2 linked regions of the Drosophila melanogaster genome follow. The protein of the gene in region 1 purifies or fractionates together with the protein of each later gene. This does not show direct contact. Each region holds a gene or a part of one and is shown in the gene's direction. Other genes may lie near its edges.

What was found.
Region 2: the proteins of Girdin (region 1) and Act5C purify together in Drosophila melanogaster (affinity purification with western blotting, with the first as the bait; one study listed by BioGRID). This does not show direct contact.

What each region holds. Positions count from the first base shown.
Region 1 is NT_037436.4:3,176,175-3,186,398, forward strand, and holds Girdin (girdin), read left to right. Parts: upstream 1-2,755; 5' UTR 2,756-3,178; coding exon 3,179-3,247; intron 3,248-3,769; coding exon 3,770-4,506; intron 4,507-4,567; coding exon 4,568-4,846; intron 4,847-4,911; coding exon 4,912-6,970; intron 6,971-7,025; coding exon 7,026-7,264; intron 7,265-7,324; coding exon 7,325-7,400; intron 7,401-7,461; coding exon 7,462-7,625; intron 7,626-7,758; coding exon 7,759-7,863; intron 7,864-8,074; coding exon 8,075-8,492; 3' UTR 8,493-9,113; downstream 9,114-10,224. Other genes in the region: MnM (myomesin and myosin binding protein), read right to left, coding at 1-671, 732-1,495, 2,027-2,105; CG42494 (uncharacterized protein), read left to right, coding at 9,222-9,248, 9,307-9,403, 9,460-9,778, 9,838-10,122, 10,175-10,224.
Region 2 is NC_004354.4:5,897,916-5,907,114, forward strand, and holds Act5C (actin 5C), read left to right. Parts: upstream 1-2,945; 5' UTR 2,946-3,098; intron 3,099-4,066; exon of another isoform or gene 4,067-4,181; intron 4,182-4,774; 5' UTR 4,775-4,782; coding exon 4,783-5,913; 3' UTR 5,914-7,484; downstream 7,485-9,199. Other genes in the region: CG4020 (uncharacterized protein), read left to right, coding at 8,042-8,096, 8,163-8,448, 8,517-8,753, 8,808-9,199. UniProt on the Drosophila melanogaster protein: Actins are highly conserved proteins that are involved in various types of cell motility and are ubiquitously expressed in all eukaryotic cells.

The sequences.
Region 1 (10,224 bases):
TGATCCGAAGTTCCGTAGGACATTTCGTGGGTCAGTTGCTCGTTGTCTATGAGCTGAGGCTTCGGCTTCCGCTTCGCACTGGGCGACTGTTTGGGTGACATGCCCGTGGAGGCATCTGCTTGAGGCCGTGGAGGAGATAAAGTCTTCCTGCGCGGTGGCACCTGCATCCCTCCAGCTCCTGTCTTGGGCTTGTCCTTCTCATCTCCGGCTATCCTTGTAGCTGATTTCGGTTTGGTGATTCCCCGCTTGGGATCCGGGATGAAGAGCAGCTCCGATTCACCCGACGGTTCGCTCAGGCCATATGGATTTTCTGCCTTTACACGAAATTTGTACTCGGAACCCTCTATCAGATCGTGAAGTGTGGTGCTCAGTGCCCGAGTGGTGGCCGCCTTCAGCCAGACGTTCCAGCCCACTCGGAAATATTCAACTATGTAGTTGCCAATCTTACAGCCTCCGTCGTCGAGTGGAGCCGTCCAGGAAAGAGTGGCGGACTTGCCAAAGGACATATTCAGCTTGGGAGTACCCGGTGGATTGGGCCTGGCTGTCACTGTAACCAAAAAGGAGGTACTGTCCTCACCCAATCGATTCCAAGCTTTCACCATATACTCGCCGCGATCTTCTCGAAGCACATTGTCGATCTTAAGCAGGGAGTTCTTCTCCGTGTTGGAGACCTGCAATGGGAAGCGAGTTACTTATGCAGTGGGTGAAAAAAGACCGGTAAGATGACCCACCTCAAAGCGTCCACCCGGAGCAATGACCTCGCCCTCATGAAGCCACGTAATAGCGGGCGGTGGCTGTCCAGCCACGCCAACCTTAAGGCGCAACACTTCGTCCGCCTCAACAATCAGTCCATCCTCGTAGGTGCGGGGTAATCGGATCTTGGGAGGAGCCTGCACCATCAACCTTGCCTTGGTAATCACATGTCCCGCTCGATTGGTGGCCGTGCATTTTATCTCGCCCTCGTCGGTCAGCGCCACTTGGTGGATCACCAGGACACTGGCCTCGTTGTCGTTGACGATCTTTGTGCGCCGACTGCTGAAGATCTCGTAGCCGTCCTTGAACCAGTTAATCTCCGGCGGCGGTTCGCCAAGAATGCGGACGCGGAACTCGATTCGCTCGTCTTCCACGGCATTCGTGTCCACCAGTTCGTCGATGAACCGGGGCACGGTTATGGCATTTCGCTGCAGCGTCACCGTCAGCGGATCAGATAGCTCGCTGGCATCGGATCGCCCCACAATGTTCTCAGCAAAGCAACGAAACTGGTAACGCCATCCCGGCTCCAGTCCACTGATGCACACATCGCAGCGGTCCACGGGAGTGGGCGTGGCTCTCACCCAGTGGGGTGACCCCATGCGCCTGTGCTCTACCGTATAGCCAGTGATGGGTGAACCTCCATCGTGGAGTGGCCGATCCCAGCGCAGGTTCACCACGTCCGGTTGCTGCTCCGGTAGTGCCACTGGCGTCAGGATGGGTCGGCCAGGCGGAGAAGGTCGCTCTGATTGGGAAACAAATATAATGCAATTTAAGGATTAAAAGATCTAAAAATCTTCTACGATGCGAGAAAAAAAGTTAAACTTTAAAGGAAATAGAGAAATATTTGATTTTTTAATTAAGATAACCTACGATTTATTCCTAAATATAAGTTGCATAGTTTTAGAGAATCAATTTCGATTCACAAAGATTGCATTGCTAAGTTATTACGGTGTGGGTGACTTTCCTGTCCCAGCTCCATATTGTAGCCCTTAAAGGGCTTTAGAAATTATGCACCTACAAAAGATTCTATCTCAGCATAATGATTCTTCCGCTTCTCAAACGACAACATTACTTTGACGTTGCGAGATTTTGGGGCCAAACAGACGAACACGGCAACCACTGAGTGTGCGAGTGGCTAAAAATAGACCCATTTCTAGCGCTCCCACCAGCCAGACAGCTATGTGGGGCCTCCTCTGATATCTTGAAATTCGGGTAGGAATTGTACTGGGACTGGGACCCTGATGGTATATGGAGTTACTACTTTTCTACTTGCCTGCGGACTTCCAGTGGACATTCTTCTTGGGGCGACCGCCTTGTGGATGCGTGTGCAGCTTTCCCGGCTGATTTCCCATTTCGAGATATTTAGATATTTAACCTATTTGCAATATTGTGCTTGCCTATACAGAGGATCTATATATAGACAGTCGAAATTAACTTAACTTAACCCGTCGTTTTCGAATCGCCAATAACAACACTTTGCACTCCAACTATTTCAACTTCAGGTCGGTTAGTTTCTAGTAATGTAACTTTCGTAGCGTTCGCAGGCTTTTGTTTGCAAGCGTTGCCATTTTTGCGGCGCGTTAAATAATCCGTTCCGTTCGGTTCGTCAGCCCAGCATCCTCCTCCTCATCCACCGATCCACGAAAGCTTTCTGCTCTCTTTCAAATTTGAATTCTGATGGGCTCGACAGCAGTTATCGACATCGATAGGAGCTGCAATCGGTTAGCAAGTGACCTACCTTCTTTCTGGCTACTTTTCAGGAACTTCGTTTGACAGATAACCCTTAATTAACCACAACAAGGCTGATCACATTGTAAAATAAGTCTCATTTACAATGCATTTAGATACCATCAACGATAGCATCGATTCATTCGATAAGCTTTAGCATCATTCAAAGTCAATTAACTATCTCTGTGATTTGTGGAATTTAGCTATTTCTAGCTAGTTAGCTACTTGTCGCAAAGTTCCATCACTAGACCCCTCCACCGCATTCGATAGTTGGCAGCATTAGCGAAGTGTCATCACCGGCACAAATTATGCTTTTTTTCCAACAGTCCAGTCTTCCCAAAAATATTTCGCTAATTTTTTAGAGTGCTGCCTTGTAGTGTTCCTTGTTGCTTAGTTTGTTAAAGCCAATTTAATCCGCGAAGTGCTCTCCAACGTATTTTAGTGTTGTTACAAACTGTGATCTTGCGACTTGCCTGCATGTGCAATGTGAAAATGCCCCGTCCTTGGCATAAATTTCGGGAGGCTGTTGTTGGACTTTACTTCTTGAAAAAATAGAAACTATCTCGCCCAGCATCACAGTTTGGAGGAGCCGCAGCTGTTCCTTTGCGACAGGTGCAGCGGCACAAACTCACACACTCATACATACCTGCACTTACCTATTCCGCCCGTCCGTCCAATAACAATAACAACACAAACAATGGCTGGCACTGCGACCGCGACGCCAATGGAAATTGATGAGTTTGTTAATTCGTCCATAATTTCTTGGGTGAGTAGAGTACTGCGGGCGTTATGGATAAACATGATCGACATTTGCATCGCCAGTGGGCCTATGTGCTTGGCATAAATAATTCAAGTGTTCGATTGCCAAGCGCTCGCAAATGGAAAAGGCGAAAACAACAACAAAGTCGTGAGAACAACCTGCTTACACACACACAGCTGAGGTCAACGAAATAGAATCATACGTTACAGGGAAACTCCAAAAAACGAATAATTTTATATATCCAAAGCCTTAGCTTCGTTAAATTAATTCCGTTACGACGAAAGCAGGTGTATCGTATTAATTTATAATCATATCAATCATATGTATCATACTCCACTTCGAGCTCTTATTTTTTTGACCCAAACTGTTTGTCGCCAAAGAACCAAGGTCATTGTAACTTGCTCAAGACTGCTAGCGGTACAATAAGAATGGAGGAGGAGCGTAATGAGCTCTTGTCCAGCTAATAAACATATTCGCGCTCGCTTTGTTGGATTCCGTATCTAAAACTGGTATTTTCTTCCTTTACAGCTGGAATCATGTCTGCCACGTGCCGAGCTTCTCGCCGGATACACCTCCCTGCTGGATGGCCACATAATTCACAGCGTCTGGCTGCAAATCGACCCCGAGCCGCAAAATAATCCCAGCGAGCTGAACGATCTTAACGGGAAATCTCTCAGCATTGCGAGGGCCAAGAACTTCGAGTGCGTCGTGAGGAATCTAAAGTCTTTCTTTGAGGAGGAGCTTGGTCAAACCATACTGGTCCTACCCGATGCCTTCACCCTGGGTCATCATCCGGAGAGTAAGAACGGGCTCGAACAGATGAAGACCTTGCTGACCCTGTTGCTCGGCGCAGCTGTGCAATGTCCCAACAAGGAGCTATTTATTGCTCGCATCAAGGAGCTGGACTTAGAAACGCAACACGCTATTGTTGGACTGATCAAACAAGTGACCGACAGCCATAGTTTGGTGCTCACCGAGGACTCCTTGGAGCGACTTACGCCGCAGAGCATGTACACGCACATTTTGCGCCTGACCAAGGAGCGGGACGTCATGTATCTCAAGTGGATCGATTTGGCGTGCGTAGAGACCGAAATGACAGCCAGCGATAATTTGGTGGAATGTGGCCAAGGTGTCAGCGTTACACGTTCCCCTTCGAACGGAACTGCCACCTCGACACCTTCATCTTCTTCCAATTCGGAAAGCAATCACCTTGCCGTAGAATGTGCCGATCTGCGTTCGAAGAACCGCAAGCTGCGTCAGGAACTGTAAGACAAGCTATTATTTACTTATCCAATAATTATTCATACACCTTTTCCTTTCTTTAAGCGAGGAAAAGTCCGAGAATCTTTTGGAGCTACGTGAGGAGTTGGATGACAAGAAGGCTCGCTTTGACAAGCTGCGCCAGGAAAGCCAAGAATGGTTTACGGAGGCCAAGCGGGCATCTGCATATCGTGACGAGGTGGACATCCTCCGGGAACGGGCTGAAAGAGCTGATCGCCTGGAGGTGGAAGTTCAGAAGTACCGCGAGAAACTCGGAGACTCCGACTTTTACAAATCCCGCGTTGAGGAACTGCGGGAGGATAACCGTGTGCTGCTTGAATCCAAGTATATGAGCCAAACAAAATACCATTGAATGTTTTCTAACCTATAATACCCTTCCACCTTCTCAGGGAAATGCTGGAGGAGCAGTTGCAGCGTTACCGAAAAAGGTCTGAGCATGCCATCTCTCTGGAATCCGAGATTATTAAATACAAACAGAAGATAAACGACATGGCTCTCGAACGGGACGTGGATCGCTCCAAGCTAGAAGAGTTGCTGGAGGAGAACTCGCAACTGCAACTGGTAGCCAGGAATCTCAACTCCACGATGGATTTGGATAAATCCTTTTCCGAAAACGAAGACGATTGCAACTCAGGCGACAATAGTCTTTCGGAACAGCTAACGAACAATGCTCAGACCCGTGCACTCAAGCTCGAGCTGGAGAACCGTCGTTTGACCGCCGCTCTGGAACAATTAAAAGAGAGTAGCTTCCACGAATCCACCAGCAAGATGCTAGAACTGGAAAAGGAGAAGAAAAAGCTGTCTCTAAAAATCGAACAGATGCAAGAAAACATCAATCGTCTGACTCAGCAGAATGTCGAACTGGAAGGGGTCTTTAAAAATGCCCTGGAGGAGAACAAAAAGTTACAGGATGCCGTGGATAATCGCCAAAAAAGCTACGATCGACAGAGCCTGGAACGCGAAGCTGACCGTCAAAAGCTTTCTGATGCCGAGCAGCATGTCGAAACCTTAAACAAAGAAAAGCAACGTATCCAAACCCTGAACGAAAGCATTCAGCGAAGAGCCGACGATCTTGAACGGTTGGCGGAGAGCAAGACAAAGGAACTAGAGCAATACCTGGAAAAATCAAGGCAATACGAGCTTACTAAACAGAAGCTCTATGAGATCGAAGCAAGGGTCTCCACGTACGAACGCGAAAACGCCAGCCTGCTCAAGGAAGTGTCCAAACTCAAGGAGGGCAGCGAGCAAAAGTCTGTGCAGCTGGATGACAGTATTAATCGGCTCGATGTCCAGAGCAAAGAACTACAAAAGCTGGGCAAAGCACTTGAGGATTCGGAGCAAGTGCATCAAAAGCTTGTGGAACTGGAGAAGCAAAACCAAGAGCTAGCTTCACAGCGCATCATTGATCAAGAGATGATAAGTACTCTTCGAAACGACTTGGTGACTGGTACTCTCGTAACGAAGAAAGTGCGAAACAACTTGGAGAAACTAGGATTGGCGGACGAAGAGCCCGGTGAGCTCAATGTGGAGCATGTGGTGGAGAAGTTGGTGCGCAACCCGGAGACTTTTAAAACGGTTCGCGAGATAATGCTAAACGTGACCCGAGAGCAGCTGGAGGAGGAGGAACGAGAAGGTGGCGTCAAGTCCGACATGTGTGTGCTATGCCACCGTCAGGAGATCTTTACGGTGGAAAAGAACATTGAACTCGCGGCTACTCCAGCTCCTGCACCAGCGCAACCATCTTCGCAGGAACTTCGCTTCGAACACAAGGTACGTCTAAGTCCAGCACGAGAATCAGCAGAGCTGACCCGTATTAAGGATTCCAACACTCAGCTTCAGACTGAGAATGCTCGGCTCAGCGTGGACGTGGCTGCGCTGGGCTCGCAAATAACTTCGCTGAACACCCAGCATGTAGCCCTACAGCTGGCAAACTCCCAGTTGGCTGCCGAAAAAGATTCGCTGCTCAAAGAGATCGATTCACTGCAGCAGGAGCACAAGCATGCTTTGCAGGATCAGGTTACGTTGCAATGCCTGCATGATCAACTCTCCGCGGAGTACGAGTCTCTGAACAAGGACAAGGAGCAGCTAAAGGCTGCAGTGCGGGACTTGCGTCAGGAGCTGCGAGATACCCGTGAACAGCAGTCGGCATTGGAGCAACGCATTGAGGAGTTGACTATTCAGAACAGCAACATGAAAACATGCAGCGAGGATCTGTCAATCCTGCGTACGGAGCACTCCAAACTGACAGACGACTTCCGCAATCTGTTCGCCACCAGCGATCGCTTCAAGAACGAATACAAAAACATCCAGGAGCAGTACAAGATGGTACGCATGGAGCACTCCAGCCTTAAGCTACAAAACACAGAACTCTCCGGCGAGCTAAATGCTAAGAGCGATCAGGTCCGTTGCCTACAGATGGAGTATAGCAAGGTTCAGCAGCGTTGTGAGGTGAGTTAAAAAGTGTCAAGATATAATATTCTATTAATATTCTTTTTGCATACAGATGTTGATACAAAACAATGCTGAACTGGACTCGGAGCGCAAGGCTCTGATGGACAACGTGTCCCAATTGCTCTCTCAATATCAGGAACTATTGGCCATATCCCTGGAGGACAAAAAGCACTTCCATGAGGAGGAGAAGAACTACACCGAACGGGTGCACAGCCTCAAGCGGCAGAAGGAAAAACTGGAGGAGAAAATTATGGAGCATTACAAGAAGTCAGAAACCACAGTGCACAAGAAGTAAATAATATAACCATACAAAAATATATTTGTTATTAAGCCAATCACTGTAAATTTCAGAAAACCATTTGCCAGCATGCTGGTTAGAAGAGTGAAGAAGGCTAGCTCGGATCTAATGAACAAGGTGCCCAGTCGAGTAAGTTTACTCACAACTAGATGTAAAGAAACTTAACATAAAAATATTTTTTTTTTTTCAGAACCGTCGATCTTGGGTAGATGACGCCCGTACCAATTCCCAGTTCGTGATCGGTTCCGAGTCAGGCGGCAATGAGTCGGATAATAGCAATGAGGAGCCACTGTCCATTGCCTCCGACACGCACCTGCTCCAGAGGAATGTCCCGCTCCGCCAGAGTCTGCAGCGGTAAGCCATTCAGTTGGGTTGGAAATTGATGTTTTTTTTAGATTTTTGGGTTCACGGTATTTGTTCTTTTTACATGTATTATACACAACTCGACATTCGCACCAAACAAACACTGTACATTATGTCGGAGTAGGGATTTGCTGGATAACTCGATCCAACGCGGCGGTGCCGTGCGCAGTAGCCTGCAGGCTCAGAAACGTACGGATTTGAATAACTCACGTAGAAATAGCGTGCACGGGTATGCGCTTTTGATGTTTAACATTCATTCTACCCCATTAAAACTTGCCAATTGAAACAGATCGAAGTCTGTTTCGAGGCTTCAATTGACCACTATTAATCCTTATTCCATCTTTCCCCTTGCACAATGCGTATTTCCCTTCGTTGTCGCTCCCCACCTGTGTTTAAAAAAGTGCATTCATCTAGTTACTGATAAATCATTTGCTTCGCAGCAGTCTTGAAGCGCCAGACGTGACGGGCAGCAGTCTGACTCTCGGAACGGCCGGTTCCAGACGCACCGTTTATCTTATCGATGAGCACCAAAAGCTTCCCGATGGCTCTACTCCCGGCGCCACACAGTCACAGTCTGTTGGCGGCAGTGGCTCCGTCAACGCCGCACCTCCTACACCCGCAGAACCTCAGACGCCTCAGAAGAGTACCGAAAACAATGCCCCGGTGGGCCCAGCTACGTTTCTCATGTACAACCGAATAAACACCACGATCGGAGGAGCCTCGAACAGCGGGGACCAGAGCCCTCTGCTGCAGGCCAGCGGCAGCGTCTCGGGAACGACCATGCAGGATGACAAGTCGGCAAGGAAGCGGACCGAAGACAAGAGCAATAGCATCTGGTATGAGTACGGCTGCGTCTAGATCATTCGAACAGTATACGTCCACAACGTGAACTCGAACATAATGCATTTGCTGACGAAGTATTATTTCGTTTTAGAAATTAACGAATTTATTTTTAAACGCATTAGAACATCGATGTTGCCTTAAGCAAGTTACATATGTAAGTGTGAAGTGCTGCTTAAACCGCTATGATTTGCCTTAAGAAATATTTTACAATTAGACTAGTACATAGTACATACTATAGTTTGTACCTATTTATGCAATCTAAAAACTCCACAAGACTACGCGACAACTATGCGAACATATAACTATCCAGTATACACCCCTATATACACAAAACTATAAAAAAATATGTTAAATATTAGCTGTACCGGCCTCAATGTACGTCCTAAGCGAAAGGCTTTCTTTTTCGCAGATAAGACAAGATATTTAAAAATAGTATTTATATCCGTTCATTTGGTGTTTTGTTAACTCGACTCGACTCTATGTATTCCTAGATATGTTGTAAACCACACTCGTACTCTGCTATCAGCTAACGAACGCGCCTTCAATTTGTGAATATATTTTTATAAATTACTTGTAGCCTTGTACTATTTATTGACGCAAAGCCTAACACCGCAATAAAACTAAGCAAACATACAGAAAATATCTCACTTTTTCGGCAAGTCTCTAAAGATAACCAAAGATACATATAAGGTGATCCGTTTGTCCCCAGTATTTTAGATTGAAAGGCGACTGGAGACAAAAAAGATGTGGCTAAAGGCGCTTGTTCTACTGGTAACTACTACAAACTGTGCGCACTTCGGGCTAATAATCACTTTTTAATAAACTTAAGCTTTCGATTCGATATTTGGCGGCCACGTGCAATGTGTGTCAAAGTGATAGCAATGTCGCTTGTCACAGTGAAACCACTTTTTCCATCTGCTATGACGGTCTGTAAATTTTCTTTAAAAACAAGGGGATTGTGTGACAACGTTTTAATTTCCAGGAGTTCCATCGTATGATCTCTTGCCATGTCCAAAGGACTTTTATTGCACGGATGGCTTTTACACTTGCTATCAAAATGCTAATCCGGTTTGCAAAACAGAGGAGGACACTTCCACCACCGAGATCCAGACAACCAGTACAACCACTCCTAGCCCCATTACCACGACAACCACTAAGAACCCAACTACCACTGCTACCCCAATTACCACAACAACCACTGAGATCACGACTACAGAAGCTCCGTGGAATGCCGACGATATCTGTCAGCAATACACTAAAAACACCTTTTTCGAAAACGAAGATGATCCCACCTGCACCACGTGAATACCCTACTGCTGAAAATTGTTTTCGATGCTAGACTAAAGAGTTCATTTTTCAGTTTTATAACCTGTACAGTTGATAGCGACGGAACGCATTCGACAAAAGTCACTTCATGCAAGGCTAATCAGTATTTCAGTACCAGCTTAAAGGTTTGTACCGCCACAAAGCCGGATGGATGCGTGGAGACGACAACCACTATAGCCACCACTACCCCAACCACCACCACCGTGACCACAACAGCGGCGAGTACCACCACAGCGGAACCCTGGAGTGCGGAGAAAACCTGCCTGACTGTCTCTAAGACCACTTTGTTTCAAAACCAAGACGACCCCACCTGCACCACGTAAGTAGACCACGAATTTCCAGGGAACAACTCACATAAACCATTCTTCTAGGTACCTATATTGTTATTTTATCAATGGATCGGCAACAGCTTTGATAAAGA
Region 2 (9,199 bases), on another chromosome or scaffold:
TGACGAGTTACGTACTTTTGGAGAAAGGTCGTTGATCATGGCTAAATGTTGTTGCTTTTCGCTTAATAGCGGTCTCAAAGTCAACATCAACGCGCTGTTTTTGGCCATTTCAGTATTTCTAGTTTCGATACCCCTCACCGCCGTCCCTCCGTCGGATTCCAGCGCTTTTTCGAACTGTTTCCCTTCAAAAACAGCTTTTTTTTCTTGAATTCAGTGGCGCAAGGTTAAAAGTGCCGAAAACCGAAGCCATTGGCCCGGGGAAATTTCTGCGAGTTTTTTCATCGCCTTGCCAAAAAAAAAAAAAAACAAAAAACAAACGATCGAGCAACGAACTTGAGAGAAGCAAATAGAGCCAAAAAAAAGGTTATGATTTTGTTCCAAAGAATGTTCCATAGAATTCTATATTCTAAAAACACAAATGATACTTCTAAAAAAAAATCATATTCATAAATGACTCTTTCCATGAATGGCATCAACTCTGAATCAAATCTTTGCAGATGCACCTACTTCTCATTTCCACTGTCACATCATTTTTCCAGATCTCGCTGCCTGTTATGTGGCCCACAAACCAAGACACGTTTTATGGCCATTAAAGCTGGCTGATCGTCGCCAAACACCAAATACATAATGAATATGTACACATTCGAGAAAGAAGCGATCAAAGAAGCGTCTTCGGGCGGAGTAGGAGAATGCGGAGGAGAAGGAGAACGAGCTGATCTAGTATCTCTCCACAATCCAATGCCAACTGACCAACTGGCCATATTCGGAGCAATTTGAAGCCAATTTCCATCGCCTGGCGATCGCTCCATTCTTGGCTATATGTTTTTCACCGTTACCCGGGGCCATTTTCAAAGACTCGTCGGCAAGATAAGATTGTGTCACTCGCTGTCTCTCTTCATTTGTCGAAGAATGCTGAGGAATTTCGCGATGACGTCGGCGAGTATTTTGAAGAATGAGAATAATTTGTATTTATACGAAAATCAGTTAGTGGAATTTTCTACAAAAACATGTTATCTATAGATAATTTTGTTGCAAAATATGTTGACTATGACAAAGAACTGGAATTAAGTGGCATATTTTGCATTGCTTTCCGATAATAGTTGTATTTTTATAAAGTAAAGCGTTTGTAAAATAAATACCTTTAATGTATTCTCATTTTCTTATGTATTTATAATGGCAATGATGATACTGATGATATTTTAAGATGATGCCAGACCAAAAGGCTTGAATTTCTGCGTCTTTTGCCGAACGCAGTGCATGTGCAATTGTTGTTTTTTGGAATATTCAATTTTCGGACTGTCCGCTTTGATTTCAGTTTCTTGGCTTATTCAAAAAGCAAAGTAAAGCCAAAAAAGCGAGATGGCAATACCAAATGCGGCAAAACGGTAGTGGAAGGAAAGGGGTGCGGGGCAGCGGAAGGAAGGGTGGGGCGGGGCGTGGCGGGGTCTGTGGCTGGGCGCGACGTCACCGACGTTGGAGCCACTCCTTTGACCATGTGTGCGTGTGTGTATTATTCGTGTCTCGCCACTCGCCGGTTGTTTTTTTCTTTTTATGCTGCGCTCTCTCTAGCGCCATCTCGCTTACGCATGCTCAACGCACCGCATGTTGCCGTTTCCTTTTATGCGTCATTTTGGCTCGAAATAGGCAATTATTTAAACAAAGATTAGTCAACGAAAACGCTAAAATAAATAAGTCTACAATATGGTTACTTATTGCCATGTGTGTGCAGCCAACGATAGCAACAAAAGCAACAACACAGGTGGCTTTCCCTCTTTCACTTTTTGTTTGCAAGCCGCGTGCGAGCAAGACGGCACGACCGGCAAACGCAATTACGCTGACAAAGAGCAGACGAAGTTTTGGCGAAAAACATCAAGGCGCCTGATACGAATGCATTTGCAATAACAATTGCGATATTTAATATTGTTTATGAAGCTGTTTGACTTCAAAACACACAAAAAAAAAAATAAAACAAATTATTTGAAAGAGAATTAGGAATCGGACGCTTATCGTTAGGGTAACAACAAGAAATGCTTACTGAGTCACAGCCTCTGGAAAACTGCCGCAAGCCAGAGAGAGAGAGAAAAAGAGGGAGAGCAGCTTAGACCGCATGTGCTTGTGTGTGAGGCGTCTCTCTCTTCGTCTCTGTTGCGCAAACGCATAGACTGCACTGAAAAAATCGATTACCTATTTTTTATGAATGAATATTTGCACTATTACTATTCAAAACTATTAAGATAGCAATCACATTCAATAGCCAAATACTATACCACCTGAGCGATGCAACGAAATGATCAATTTGAGCAAAAATGCTGCATATTTAGGACGGCATCATTATAGAAATGCTTCTTGCTGTGTACTTTTCTCTCGTCTGGCAGCTGTTTCGCCGTTATTGTTAAAACCGGCTTAAGTTAGGTGTGTTTTCTACGACTAGTGAATGCCCTACTAGAAGATGTGTGTTGCACAAAATGTCCCTGGAATAACCAATTTGAAGTGCAGATAGCAGTAAACGTAAGCTAATATGAATATTATTTAACTGTAATGTTTTAATATCGCTGGACATTACTAATAAACCCACTATAAACACATGTACATATGTATGTTTTGGCATACAATGAGTAGTTGGGGAAAAAATGTGTAAAAGCACCGTGACCATCACAGCATAAAGATAACCAGCTGAAGTATCGAATATGAGTAACCCCCAAATTGAATCACATGCCGCAACTGATAGGACCCATGGAAGTACACTCTTCATGGCGATATACAAGACACACACAAGCACGAACACCCAGTTGCGGAGGAAATTCTCCGTAAATGAAAACCCAATCGGCGAACAATTCATACCCATATATGGTAAAAGTTTTGAACGCGACTTGAGAGCGGAGAGCATTGCGGCTGATAAGGTTTTAGCGCTAAGCGGGCTTTATAAAACGGGCTGCGGGACCAGTTTTCATATCACTACCGTTTGAGTTCTTGTGCTGTGTGGATACTCCTCCCGACACAAAGCCGCTCCATCAGCCAGCAGTCGTCTAATCCAGAGACACCAAACCGAAAGACTTAATTTATATTTATTTAATTAATTTTAATAAAACACACCAAATGTAAGTAGCTTTCCCCTTCCCAACAACAAAACACCATCGAACCACTCCCACCAAGAAAAAGCAATAATCGAGAAAAGCCGCGGAAAATGTGTGATTTTTTTTGTAAACAAAACATTTTTTTATGTGCCAGTGCTGAAAGTGATCAAAAAATACTAGCCACGAGCTAAAGAGTTATTGTATTGACCAAAACTCCAAAAATACCCAAGTTTGGCCCTAAATTGTCAATCAAAATACCAATAGGTCGAAAGACATCAAAATTAACAAAACCAGGGTTTCAAATACCATAACTCAAGAATCAGGATTACAACTGCAGATTTCAGGATATATACATACAAATTATACGAAATTATAAAAACCAAAGCAATTCAATAGCCCCAACTCAAATGTTAGGATCTAATATAGTGTTTAAAGCCAAGCTCGCTGATGTGGGCGTGTCACGATTTCACCCAAAGATATGCCAAATTACGAATTGCAAATCAATTCGCCAACACTTTCTTTTTTTCCCACGCCCTAAAACACCAGATCATCCATAAATGTACATACATACAGTATATGCATATTATAATCTGTAAAACTAGATCAGGTTCTTGAAAATAGTGACGTAGGCAGCCGTTTTGGCTGAAGCAGAAATTTTTGCCGGTTTTTCAAAGTTGTAGTTGCAAAAATGGAGAAAACCTTCGAGCATTCGTTCATATACACACACTCACGCGCAAAATAACGAGAGAGAGTGTATGTGTGTGTGAGAGAGCGAAAGCCAGACGACGGTTTGCTTTTCGCCTCGAAACATGACCATATATGGTCACAAAACTTGGCCGCCGCAATTCAACACACCAGCGCTCTCCTTCGCACCCATAGCGACCATGGCGCGGAGCGAGCGAGATGGCGAGAGCGAGCGACGCCTATGGCGACGTCGACGCAGGCAGCGATTGAAAAACGCAGTTAACTGGCATTCAACATTCACCAGCCACTTTCAGTCGGTTTATTCCAGTCATTCCTTTCAAACCGTGCGGTCGCTTAGCTCAGCCTCGCCACTTGCGTTTACAGTAGTTTTCACGCCTTGAATTTGTTAAATCGAACAAAAAGGTAAAGTTTAACTAGCTTTGAAAAGTTTCGTGGCTCTTAATTGTTAAATTTTCTAGAGTGCGTTTAGTGTTTTTTTTTTTTTTTATTTTGTAATGTTAATTTCGGGTTCCAATTCGAGTTTTAGGCAGCCGCCATTTTAAGGGCGCATACACACAGGCAACTGTGCTCTCTTTGCGGCTTTCTTTTGCACCGGCATTCGTTAAGTGTCGTCTAGAAGCTTCTCCCCTCCCTTTTCGGCATATTCGTATTGTGGTTTTAATTTTTCGGGGCGGGGCCTTCTATTTTGTAACTGTTCTTTTAATTTCTTATTACAATTCGATCGCAAGTGAAAATCAGTTTTCAATCGGAAAAGTATTTTTTTATGAAATTTTTTTTGTCCAAGATTAAAATTTTGTACTAAAAAAACGTACATTGCATTGAGTGATTTTTAATTGTACACGAAAAACAAGTTAGTTTGTTATGACAATTGTACTTTGGTAGACCAGCGCAGTCCAAGGAAACCACGCAAATTCTCAGTTTTTTTTTTGCCATTTCTACATTACCAAATAAGGTAACCAAAAACTAATGGGAAATCCGCATTCTTTCCATTGCAGCTTACAAAATGTGTGACGAAGAAGTTGCTGCTCTGGTTGTCGACAACGGCTCTGGCATGTGCAAGGCCGGATTTGCCGGAGACGATGCTCCCCGCGCCGTCTTCCCATCGATTGTGGGACGTCCCCGTCACCAGGGTGTGATGGTCGGCATGGGCCAGAAGGACTCGTACGTGGGTGATGAGGCGCAGAGCAAGCGTGGTATCCTCACCCTGAAGTACCCCATTGAGCACGGTATCGTGACCAACTGGGACGATATGGAGAAGATCTGGCACCACACCTTCTACAATGAGCTGCGTGTGGCACCCGAGGAGCACCCCGTGCTGCTGACCGAGGCCCCGCTGAACCCCAAGGCCAACCGTGAGAAGATGACCCAGATCATGTTCGAGACCTTCAACACACCCGCCATGTATGTGGCCATCCAGGCTGTGCTCTCGCTGTACGCCTCCGGTCGTACCACCGGTATCGTTCTGGACTCCGGCGATGGTGTCTCCCACACCGTGCCCATCTACGAGGGTTATGCCCTTCCCCATGCCATCCTGCGTCTGGATCTGGCTGGTCGCGATTTGACCGACTACCTGATGAAGATCCTGACCGAGCGCGGTTACTCTTTCACCACCACCGCTGAGCGTGAAATCGTCCGTGACATCAAGGAGAAGCTGTGCTATGTTGCCCTCGACTTTGAGCAGGAGATGGCCACCGCTGCCAGCAGCTCCTCGTTGGAGAAGTCCTACGAGCTGCCCGACGGACAGGTGATCACCATCGGCAACGAGCGTTTCCGCTGCCCCGAGGCCCTGTTCCAGCCCTCGTTCTTGGGAATGGAGGCTTGCGGCATCCACGAGACCACCTACAACTCCATCATGAAGTGTGATGTGGATATCCGTAAGGATCTGTATGCCAACACCGTGCTGTCCGGTGGCACCACCATGTACCCTGGCATCGCCGACCGTATGCAGAAGGAGATCACCGCCCTGGCACCGTCGACCATGAAGATCAAGATCATTGCCCCGCCAGAGCGCAAGTACTCTGTCTGGATCGGTGGCTCCATCCTGGCTTCGCTGTCCACCTTCCAGCAGATGTGGATCTCCAAGCAGGAGTACGACGAGTCCGGCCCCTCCATTGTGCACCGCAAGTGCTTCTAAGAAGGATCGCTTGTCTGGGCAAGAGGATCAGGATCGGGATGGTCTTGATTCTGCTGGAGGAGGAGGAGGAGAAGTCGAGGAAGCAGCAGCGAAAGTGCAAGTGCGAGTGGTGGAAGTTTGGAGTGCAGCACAACAAAATCAACAACAACACCAACTACAAGATGAAAAGAGCGGAACCACCTGCACACCATCATCATTATCATCATCGTTTTGGGCGCATGTTGTGTGGTTCCAGCGTATTAATATAATTAATTTATTCCACATGAGATATGATATGATATACTATGTATTTTTTGTTTTTTTTTTATTTGTAAACCTTTAATATAACAAGAACTACAAAAAATGAAAATGAGCGAAAATGCATATTCTGCCATTCCACACACACACCAACAACACCCAACACACGCACACCCACAAGCTTACACACACACATTCGCGGCATGACAAGGACATCAAGATAAAGAAGAACTTAAAGAAGATATTTCCCAAAGCGCAAAAAGAACACACACACATTGCAAAACACAAACAACACACTAGCGTTTTGTACAATTCGTCAGCAACCTTATGTATTATTTTTTAATTATGATGTAATTATAAACAAAGTGAAACAAAAATATGAAAACAAAAAGGAAAATCAAATCTGTCTTCTCTTTCTCCCGCTCTCCTCGCTCTCTGCTGCTAACCTCGCCCTCTCCTCTCTCATCTTTTTGTCTGTCTCTCTTCCACATTTTTGCCGGCCGGCAAAATAATAACCCACACACACTCACACTTGGCTGCAGTTTCGCGTGCGATATTCACACACATTCAAGCATACAAGCATACATACATATGTATTTTTTTTTTATTTGTACACTTTTCTAATTGCATGCGTATCGATTGATAAGTTTACGCCTGAAAATGTTAATTAAAATGTGAAAATGCAACTGAAAAACTGATGAAATGAAACAACAACAAGCGAACAATTTGCTACATGTGTATTGTCTAACAACCGTTACTGCAACGGTTGCTTCGGAAAAGGGTGAAGAGGAAGAGGGCACGAGGTCGACGAACTAAGGCTGCGACGACAAGCGGCTGTCTCGCTCGCACGCACGCACGCATGCGGGCTAATGATGCGATTAAAGTGCCGTTTTAAATGGCCAAGATCCAAATAAAAGTCGAGATAATAAGGCAAACACGCTAACACAAATCGCTGGCATAGTTTCATCCGCCAGTTTGGCCAAAAGCAGCGGCTGCAAGCGCCGTTTATCCGGTTTTTCCCAAACATTTTCCATTCATGCGGCCAAAGAGGAGGAGCACCCATCTTTCCATCTTTCTCTGACTCGCACGGGCAATGCAGTGCACCGGAAAGAAAGTGGTGCGAATTGGGATTTATAGACTTACTTTATAGACTTACACGTACAAATATACATAGATATTATATTATTTAAATACATTTTTATTATATTGCTTATATATTAGTTCGACTTCGATATCATTTCTGCCAGTATAATTATGGGCTCTGCTTGATTTGGCGCTCGGATGCTACGGTAAAAGTTATCTTTCTGTGCTTTCTCCTTTGATTCTTGAGTTTCAACGGTTCCGTTTTTGTTGATCTCGTTCATCTTCTTCTTCTTGCGTTCTAGACGTTCTCCTTTGTTTTTTGTTCACAACGGATTTCGTAGCACCTTGAGCGGTTTAAATATACATACATATGTAATACATACATAAATACATATGTAGTTAGTGTTTTTTTTCGATATTCGTATGCCCAAATGTTCGAATAATTAGTAGGTCTCATTAAAAACATCACAAATTAAGAGTAAAGCAATAAAAATATAGAAATATGTAGTATAAAATAGTATTCTAGGACTAAGATTGGTCATACCTGCGGTTTCTATGTGAATATGATGCGATGTGTTGCTTCCCCACTATCTACAGGGTATCGCACTCTACGCTTACAAAGTATGAGCCTACCAACTGAATATTCAGCGATGTGATCCCTTTTGGCCAAGGGTCAGCAGCGCGATTGGCCGGATTTCAATATTCCCGCCTTGAGTCCGCCGTACTTCGCACAGAAGCACTTGGAGCAGCGACACGTGCGGATTGATATACGACATCGAAAACCCGGGAGACCAACAACCGAACCACCATGACCATACCGGAAGCTTTCGAGGATCAGGAAATATTCGTGACCGGCGCCTCCGGTGGGTATTTATGACTGCCTTTGCAGAATAAAGATTTAAAGAGAATGTATTGGTATCTCTGTGCAGGATTCGTGGGCAAAGCACTGATCGAAAAGCTGCTGCGCTCCTGTCCAAAACTGGGCCGCATCTATGTGCTGATGCGGCCCAAGAAGGGCCACACAATTGAGGAGCGCCTGCAGCTGCAGTGGGAATCGAGGTTGTATGAACGGCTGCGCAGAGAACAGCCCAATGCCCGCTCCAAACTGGTGGCCATAGCCGGGGATGTGGAGCAGCTGGGCCTGGGCATTGGCAGCGCGGATCTTGAGCGGCTGCGCAATGTCAACATTGTCTATCATTCGGCGGCCAGTGTGCGGTGAGTACATATGTACATATATACGATCCAGGTTAGGATATACAAATCAATAATACATCATCTTTTAGCTTCGATGATGCCCTGAGCACGGCCATACTACTGAACACCCGTGGCACCCACGAGCTGGTCAAGTTGGCCCTGGAGTGGCCCAAGCTGAAGGCATTCGTCCACGTGTCCACCACCTACTCGAATCCGGGAGTTCTTGAGGTGGAGGAGCGCGTCTATCCACCGTTGGCCGACTGGCGTACAACTATCAAATTGGCGGAGACCTACGACGCCGAGATTCTGGACATCTTCAATCTCAAGTGAGTAGTGGAGTTGAGTGGAAAATAAGATGCTATATAATATGCACCTTGCAGGTATGGTAACTTTCAGCCGAACACGTACACCTTCACCAAAAGTTTGGCCGAGCAGGTGGTCAATGAGTACAGGGACAGGCTGCCCATCTTCATCTTTCGGCCATCGATTGTGGTCTCCACCATTGAGGAACCCGTGCCCGGCTGGGCGGACAACTTCAATGGACCCACGGGACTGCTGGTGGCCTGCGGCGTGGGCATACTGCGCTCCCAGAACTGTGATCCCAATATTGTGGCCGATTTCGTGCCCGCCGATATTGTGGCCCGTACACTGATCACCTCGGTGTACAAGTTCATGGGTGAATCGAAATCGCGGGCCAAGGACAGCGATCTGTATGTGGTCAACTGTGCCACGGCGAATATATCGCCGATCACCATGGGCGAGGTGATCGATA